Notamacropus eugenii: one gene and its partner. The protein of the gene in region 2 binds, or shares a complex with, the protein of the main gene of each other region. Links are inferred from orthologs where the notes say so. Each region holds a gene or a part of one and is shown on either strand. Other genes may lie near its edges.

Region 1 (3,905 bases), about 230 Mb from region 2:
CAAGAATTACCCAAGCTGACCAGTTCTCACAGGCCTCTATATCCCCAGCTCTGGCCTTCAGCAGGGGATGACACTGGCCATACCACACCCTGAGTCCAAAAACCATCACAAACCAAATACGTACACATACACACTCATCTCAATCTATACCAAGTCAACCCAGCTCCTCGGGTGTTCAAAAGTTGGGAGGGAATGAAAGAGCCCTGGACCAAGGAGATCACTATTTGACCTCCAGTAAATCACTTCTCTCTGGGCCTCAAATCCCTCATCTGTAAAATAGATCTGTCCTGCCTTCTTTACCAGGCTATCGTGTAGATTCATTCAATTTGCCAAACATTTCTTTGCACGAGATCATATGCTAGGTGCTGGGGATACAAAAAGAAAAAAGAAAATCCTTGCCCTGACTGAGCTTACTTTCTGCTGAAAGGATATGACTGAGATAAAGTAAATATAAAGTTATTTCAGGATGGAAAGTGTGCTAATAGCTGGGGAGAATCAAGAAAGGCTTCCCAGAGGAAGTGGCAGACCATCGGGACCTTAAAGTAAGACAGTATTTGTGAGCAGCATCAGGGAAGTAAAGAACTCTATGAGGAGGAGATGAAGGGTAACTGGGGAGGGGTGGATAGAAAAGTGGGGGAGGGGTGACTAACCCGATGGAGGGCAAACTCTCCCAATAAGACTACAGGGAAGTGGGAAGAGGGGTCTCTGACCTCCTCCCCACCAAAAACATACACATTTCAATCAGATGACCGCCAGGCTGATGATTCTGTCCAGCGAGACCTTGTGGGGAGGCTGGCCCTGTGAGCCTAATGGTCCTGTCTATCAGAGGGGAAGCTAGGCATCCATGACCTTTTGGAGGCTTACACAAGCCCAGGAATGGGAGAGATCATCCACCATGGGGGAGGGGGAGGGACTGTTGGGAAGGTACTTGCTACCTGGGATCAACCATCAGTTCACAAGCATTTAAGTGCCTACTGTGTGCCAGGCACTCTACTGAGCTCTGGGGTTACAAAGAAAGGCAAAAACAAAAAACAAAAAACACAATCTCATGGGGGAGACAACATACAGACAATCATATGCAAACATGATGCATACAGGATAAGTTGGAAATAATCACCAGAGGGAAGGCACTGGCTGAAAATGAAGGGGAATTGGGAAGAGCTTCTTGATTTTACCTGGGACTTGAAGGAAACCAAGGAGACCAGGAACCTAGTCCTGGGCAGGGAGGGCACTGGGGCTCGGAGGGAGAGTCCCCTCTACTACCTTATAGTAAGGTTACTATATCCTTAGAAGGGAGGGGAGATCCTCTTTGTCTCTGTAATTTTACCTCTACCCCCTGTCTCCTACATATTTTATAAGGTCAAGGTCAAAGGCCACTTTCCCTCTGAAACTTTCCCTCTGAAACTTTCCCTCTGAAACTTTCCCTAGCACTCCCACCAGATTCAGGATGCTTCCTCCTCTGAGCTCTCTAAGCCCATTTGTTTTGGTGGAGGTGGTGGTGGTGGTGGTGGTTGCTACCCCTCTTATGGCATCTCCCAGGTTGTAGTTGGTGATTTGTGGATATATTCTACCTCCTCTGAGAGCATGACTGAGTCTTAACAATTTGTATATCCCCAACAAAATTTAGCACCATGCTAGGCACAGAGTAGACACTCAGAGTACGGCTAGTAAAATGCACTGAACTAAAAAATTCAATCAACCAACTATTATTTACTGAGCAAGTACTTAACTGCTAGCAAGACATCATATTAAGGCCTCTTGAGATACAGAGATGATACAGACTACCTCCTTGCCCTCAAGGAGTTTATAGTGGCCATAAAAAGCTCATGACAGAATTCTCCCCAAATCTGGCTCCTGGCTATCATGAGCCATCCACTACCTCTCCATTCTGCCTCTGTAGTCCCCAACTCTACAGTCAAGAGAAAAATAGCTTGTTAGCTAAAGGACCTGGGTTCAGTTTCTACCAGTTATTATCAGTGTGAGCTTGGATAAGTCACTTAACCTGAGTTTCCTCAGCTGTAAAAGAGGGAATTAGATCAGATGACCTTTGTGATCTCTTCCTGTGCTAGATCTGGGCTCCTGTGACCTGGGCCATGAGGCAGCTGACTAGACAGCCACCTTAGTCTTTGCAGGAGGGAGGGAGGCAGACATCATGCAAACAACTACAGGGGGAAGCCCTTGGTAGCGTTTGGAACTGAACACACTCAAACTCCCCTCCCTGAATAACAAAAGGGGAGAATGAGAAAGACCCCAACACTCACTGAATTTTTTTCCTGTCTTCTTGGGAGTCTCCGTCATTTTGGAAGGCCGAGAAGAGATGCAGAGATGAGCAGAAGCCTCTCTTGAACGTCTTCACATCAGCTCATGGGAGCCCCCCTACTCCGGCCAGCCCCTTCCCCTTTTTCTCCCTGTCCCCTCTCTGGCTCTCTCACTTTCTCAGCTCGCTTCCTCTGTGTATTTTTAAACAGAGTGAAACTCCCACAGCTCCACCCTCCTCACCCTCTCAGCAGGGGAAGGGGGGGAGGGGAGTTAGACCTTTCCTCCAGCCCCTGGCCCCTGCCTGCCTCCCCCGGGCAGCCTCCTCGGCTTGGGCCAGCAGAAGGGGAGGGAGTAGAAGAGACCGCAGCATCCTCAGGGCCTGGAAAGGACCCAGGAGTAACCACAGGGTCTGGGAACCTGGCTTTGGCATCCTTAGCCATTACAGCTCGCCTGGTCCTGCTGTTGGGGGTGGGGTCGGGGGGGAGTGGAGTGTCCAACCCCTGGGAATAAGAGGAGGGGGCTCTTCAGAAGCTCCCCAAACTCATGGGAATTCATGGGAAAAGACCAGACGGCCAGAATCTTGGATCAACAGTTTCATCTGAGTGGGAAGAAATCTGAAGCTCAAAGGATGGAAACTAACAGCTTCTTTCTCTCAGAATTAACTAAGATGGCATGAAAATTCAGGTGTTCTGCCTTCCCAGCCTCTGCTCTCAAGGCTAACTTGGGCTCTTCTCCTGGGAATTAACACACACTACACCAGGACTTCTTAACCCAGGGTCCATGGGGTCTGTGGTTAGATTTGAGGAGGGGGAGTTGGGAGGGGAGGGGGGAGGTCTGTGAACTTGGAGAGAGAAAAACCTTTATTTTTAATATCATTGATTTCCTTGGTAATCCTATATATTTTATTTTATGCATTTAAAAACATTATTTTGAGAAAGGGTCCATAGGCTTCACCATACTGTCAAAGGGTCAATGATGTAAAAAAGGTTGACTCCCTGAACTAAAGGTCCTTAGGAATTATAGAATCATAGATTTAAGAACTGGGAGGAACCTTGAAATCCTTTCTTCAAACTTCTCCTTCTACAGATCAGACCACCAAGGCCCAGGGAAATTGAAGTGATTTGCCCAAGATCACACAGGTAGCCTGTACTGAGAGCCAGTCTGTCTTAACTCTAAATCCAATCACTTTTCCATTATACCAGGTTATCAAGATGGAAGAGACCTTAGAAATCATTTAGCTTAAGTCTTTCATTTTTACAAATAAGGAAATTGAGGCCTAGAGAGGAGAAATTACTTCCAGCCTGGTGACCTGGCCTTCTGGGGAGTGGTCTGACTATCGGTTCCATCATACTTAGAATCTTTCTTCCCCATCCAGAGTGGAACTTACAGCCTTTAACAGGACAGAAATGAGGAAGTGAAAACTTTCCACCATTTGCTTCTCAAAATCACCTGCATGCACCTGGACTGCAAACATCTTAGTGGAAACTAAAACCTAAGCCTGGAAAAACATCTGGGGAGAAAACCGGGACCTTCCAATCACCTGCCAATCAGATCCTAAGAGGAGAGAATTAATGTCCCAGGGAGGAAGAAAACCTACTTACCCAAGGACATATAAAGAGGGAGGAGCAGGACCAGATTTTGAACCC
Region 2 (3,905 bases):
AACTGGATGTCTTCTTGACTAAATATGGGGCAAGAGAGGCTAGGGACTCAGATGAGATGCCCAAATTTGTGACATCATAGCTGGAAGGGACCCTTAGAGATGACTTAGTCCAACCCTTATTTCTTCACTCCTCCTTTCCTCCATTCCACGGATTCAATTCAACATACATTAATTAAGAGCCTATTACTTGCTAGATACTGAGAACAGAAAAAAAAATCTTGTCTTCAAGGGGTTTTACATTCTCCTAAGGTAATGTACAACATGACCCAGATAAATAAATAAATACAGGGTAATTGAAGGAAAGAGAAAAACTTAACAACTGGAGGAAAGAGAGAAAGCTTCCTGGACATAATACCTAAGCTGTAGGTATTACCTGAAGGTAAGGATGAGGAAACAGGCCTTATTAAGGTAAAGGGATTTTGCTCAAGGTCACAAAGAAAGGATGTTCCAGAACTGGAATTTCAGTGTCCTTTCACTCTAACACACAGAGCAATCCCCCCTGTGGGAGCAATATTGTGGGAATTTGCCTTATCAGTTTACCAGTCTGGAAAATGGGATGCTATGTGACTATGGGGAGCCTTGTAAGGCAACTAACAGCTGGGCCCAAGGTACCACAGAAACACCTTCAAGGTCCTATGACTTGAGCCCTGGAAGAGGCCACAGAAAAACTACTTTATGTGACAGGATTTGGATCTTGGAGCCATAATAGTTATTCCCCAAACTGGTAAGGAGACCTAATGACAGCAGCTCCTGAGAGAGGGAGAAAAGGGTCAGGAATTAGGGGAAACTGAGCCTTGGCTTTCCATAAGTAAGACTACAGAGCAGCTAAGTTTGCCACAGAAGTCTCAAGAGCACTGGACCAGCAGAGAAATGTTTTCCTACCTGCTAGTGGAAAGAAACATGATACTTAGGTCGGTTAGTGATGTGCCTTGAACTGTGAAATAGATTTAATCACCTTTCCCTAGCTTTGCTTTTTTCTCCCCCACTGGCCTCATTTTCAATATCTGCCTCTGATGGTGTGGATCTCTTTCCATGGAGAAAAGTCGTTCCTCACCCCAACCCTCCCCTGGGGGAGGAGGGGAATAAAAACCTCAGAACTGGCTTGGATTAAAACCTTCCCCACCAGCCACACCACCATAAAGCTCCTAACTCATGCACAGGCTCACAAGATTTTGTTTTCCAGATCACCCTGAAGCGTAGACACCTCCCCTCTCCCAGCCCACTGAGTCTTGTCCCAGGTGGCAAAGGTGAGAAGGACCATTCATTGTAGTAAACAGAACCCAAGAGTGGGGGACCCGCTCAGGCCAGGAACCTGCTGATCTGGTGTCTCCCTAGCACTCCCCTGCTGGGGCCCGGCCTTGGAAAAGAACTGCTCATGGCCCAGGGCAGCTGGCACCATCAGCACCGACTGGGCAGACAACCCAGACATTAGCCAAACCAAAGCCCAGCCTAAACTGGAAACTCAGAAGGGGCCAGGCAGCTGGAAGGGAAGGGAAGAAAGGGACTGAGAGAGAAGGGGGAAAGACCAAGTAGCTCGGAGAAGTTTAACCAAAGTTTCCGGGGAATTTTATCCAGCAGGAGGAAAAGTCTGACGGCAGAGCCATCTGGCAAGGCCGGAGAGTTTTCCCCGGGTCTCCTAGCTGTCCATTTTGCTGTCAAGTGGCGGCCCCATGTCGGTGTCTAGATTCCCCACCCCGCTCTCCATCCTCACGGTCTCGGGAGCCAAAAAAGCAAAGCCCCCAGAGCAGGAGGAAGAAGCCCCCTCTCGGATCATTTCGGGAGCGGGGCGACACGGGGAGATCGCCCCTCAAAGCCGCGGCACTCTCCCCGGAGGGCCCCGCGCGCTCTGCCCAGGCCGGCTGCCAGGTCCCCGGAGGGCGGCACGCGCCGGCAGCCCGGCTCCTGGGGTCCCCTCGCTCCCCGCTCCGCCCCTCCGGAGAGCCTGGCACAAAGGCGGCGGCGGCGGGCGCGGTACTCACCGGCACAGACATCTTGGCGGCCGTCGCCAAGGGCTGGGGATGCTCCTCGGCTCGCTCTCCTCCCGCGGGGTCTGGGGGCGCGCGGCGGGGGCCCGGATCCCCGGGCCGGGGCAGCTGCGGGGCGCGTGGCGGGGCGGCTGCTGCGGGGCGGTGGCGGCCTCTCGGCTCGGGGCAGCCCGGGCGGGCCCCGCGCTCAGAGCCCCGCGGAGGCACCGGGGCGCATCCCGAGGCTCTCGTCCCCGGAGGCGGGGGCTGGGGCTGGGGCTGGGGCTAGGCCGGGCCGGGGCGCGCTCCGCAGCCGCCCCTGGCGCTGCCTCGGGGCCGGGGCCAGCCGCCCCACCCCGCCCCGCGGGGGCCGGGACTCCTGGGGGCAGCGGGGGCAGGGAGCCCGCTGCCTGGGGCCGGGCCGCTAGCTCGGGGTGGCCGGGGGCGCACGCAGCCCGAGCCGGTCGGTGCCACTCGGCTGTGGCTGCCCCCGCGCGCAGGCGCTGCTGCTCGGCCCCCTCCTCCTCCTCCTCCTCCTCCTCCTCCTCTCCTCCTCCTCCTTCCCTCTCTCCCTCCCCTCCTCTCTCAGAGCTCAGGGCTGCGTTAAAGGGAAGGACCCCGGCCCCGGTTTTTTCTGTCGGCCCAAGGCGAGTTCAGGGGACTGCTTCACCCCGCCCCCGACACCCTCCCTGAGGTTCAGGGGCTCCCGAGACAGGCTGAGGCGCTAGGAGATCGCCTCCCATTCACACTGCAGTCTAGATCTCGTAGGTGACCGCGGTGTGCCCATCGTCTCTCCGCTAGAAAATAAGCTCCTTGAGGGCAGGGGCTGTATTTGTGCCTCTCTTTGTATTCGCAGTTCTCAGGACGGAGTAAACTCGCGGGAAGGGTGGATAATCCATCCGAGAGATTTTACCAGGGCTGAAGACCCCGCACCACTGTCCAGGCACGAGGGGGAGTGGGGGGGCGGGGTGGCTAGCCTCCACCTGGCACATAGTAAACGCTTAATCAATCTTTGTGGAGGTTGAAAGCGGACTGGAGAGGCAGTTAGGGAATAATGAGAGGACCTGAGATTGATTCGGGAGCCTTCTCTTCTTAATTCAGTGTTTATGCCAAGTCTACTTAAGGTCATGGAGGCTTGGATCTACAGCCAGAAGGGACCGCTATCTCGTGGAGGCGGTGACTCAACCAAGGTCACAGAAGTGAGTACAGCCAGCAGAGGAAAGAAGGAAGAAAGGAAGGGAAGGAGGGAAGGGGGGATGATTGTTTTCTATGTGCCCAGAACTAAGCTAAAGGCTGGGATTACACTTACAAAATTAGTCCCTGTTGTCCTCAAGGAGTTTATATTCTAATACAGTAAACAACCCCTCTAGAAGATTGATGCTCCCAGGGAGGGGCTCTTTGGTCCAGATGTTCCTAGGCTGGTGAATAGAGCCCTAGGAGATTAGATCAATAGGGAACTAAGACAAAAGTTGGCTGGGTTGTTGCCAGATTATGGGAAGGGGGCTGGAGGAACTGTCCACGACGTTTGTGGAAAAGGAAGGAAGATTTAAACATAAACTGTCTACCTGATCGATTAGTGTTGTTTCCACCGTGCCAAGCTGTTTTAGCCTCTCCAAGGCTCAGTTTCCTCATGGGTAAATCCATTAAGCATTCTGATTTCATCCAGTCAGGGAACTCCTTCCTCTCCTGGAGACGGCAATTCCTCCCAGGCTTGATGGACAGGATTTATGAGTTGCTAACACCCTCTTTCTGCCATTCCAAAGCATCCTCACTCATCCACCCACCCACCTTCTCACTTCTTGGTCTAGAAACAGTAATCAAATCAACATGGCATAAATAGTGACTGGACTTGGAATCAGGAAGACCTGGCCTTCAATATTTACTACCTCTGTGACCCTGGGCAAGTCACTTAACTGAGTTTGCCTCAGTTTCTTCAACTGT

What was found.
Region 1: the proteins of BCAR1 (region 2) and SH2D3C are in contact, whole or in part, in a crystal structure (PDB 3T6G), measured with the Homo sapiens proteins. The link is inferred for Notamacropus eugenii from reciprocal best matches to the Homo sapiens genes BCAR1 and SH2D3C. Residues at the interface, in NP_055382.2 of Homo sapiens: Ser739, Gln742, Phe746, Tyr747, Gln750, Asn754, Val779, Ser782, Lys783, Ile786, Leu787, His790, Val793, Phe794, Ile795, Asp797, Thr798, Arg801, Gln802, Ser816, Asn817, Cys820, Leu823, Arg824, Val827, Lys831; in NP_733745.1 of Homo sapiens: Thr543, Val544, Pro545, Val547, Gly616, Val617, Arg618, Glu622, Thr625, Leu626, Pro627, His628, Leu749, Leu752, Leu753, His771, Gly772, Val773, Glu774, Val776, Leu777, Leu780, Glu781, Ala783, Arg784, Ala787, His788.

What each region holds. Positions count from the first base shown.
Region 1 is NC_092872.1:479,038,822-479,042,726, forward strand, and holds the start of SH2D3C (SH2 domain-containing protein 3C), read right to left. Parts: upstream 2,449-3,905; 5' UTR 2,299-2,448; coding exon 2,262-2,298; intron 1-2,261. UniProt on the Homo sapiens protein: Acts as an adapter protein that mediates cell signaling pathways involved in cellular functions such as cell adhesion and migration, tissue organization, and the regulation of the immune response.
Region 2 is NC_092872.1:712,916,311-712,920,215, reverse strand, and holds the start of BCAR1 (breast cancer anti-estrogen resistance protein 1), read right to left. Parts: upstream 2,255-3,905; 5' UTR 1,992-2,254; coding exon 1,980-1,991; intron 1-1,979. UniProt on the Homo sapiens protein: Docking protein which plays a central coordinating role for tyrosine kinase-based signaling related to cell adhesion. Implicated in induction of cell migration and cell branching. Involved in the BCAR3-mediated inhibition of TGFB signaling.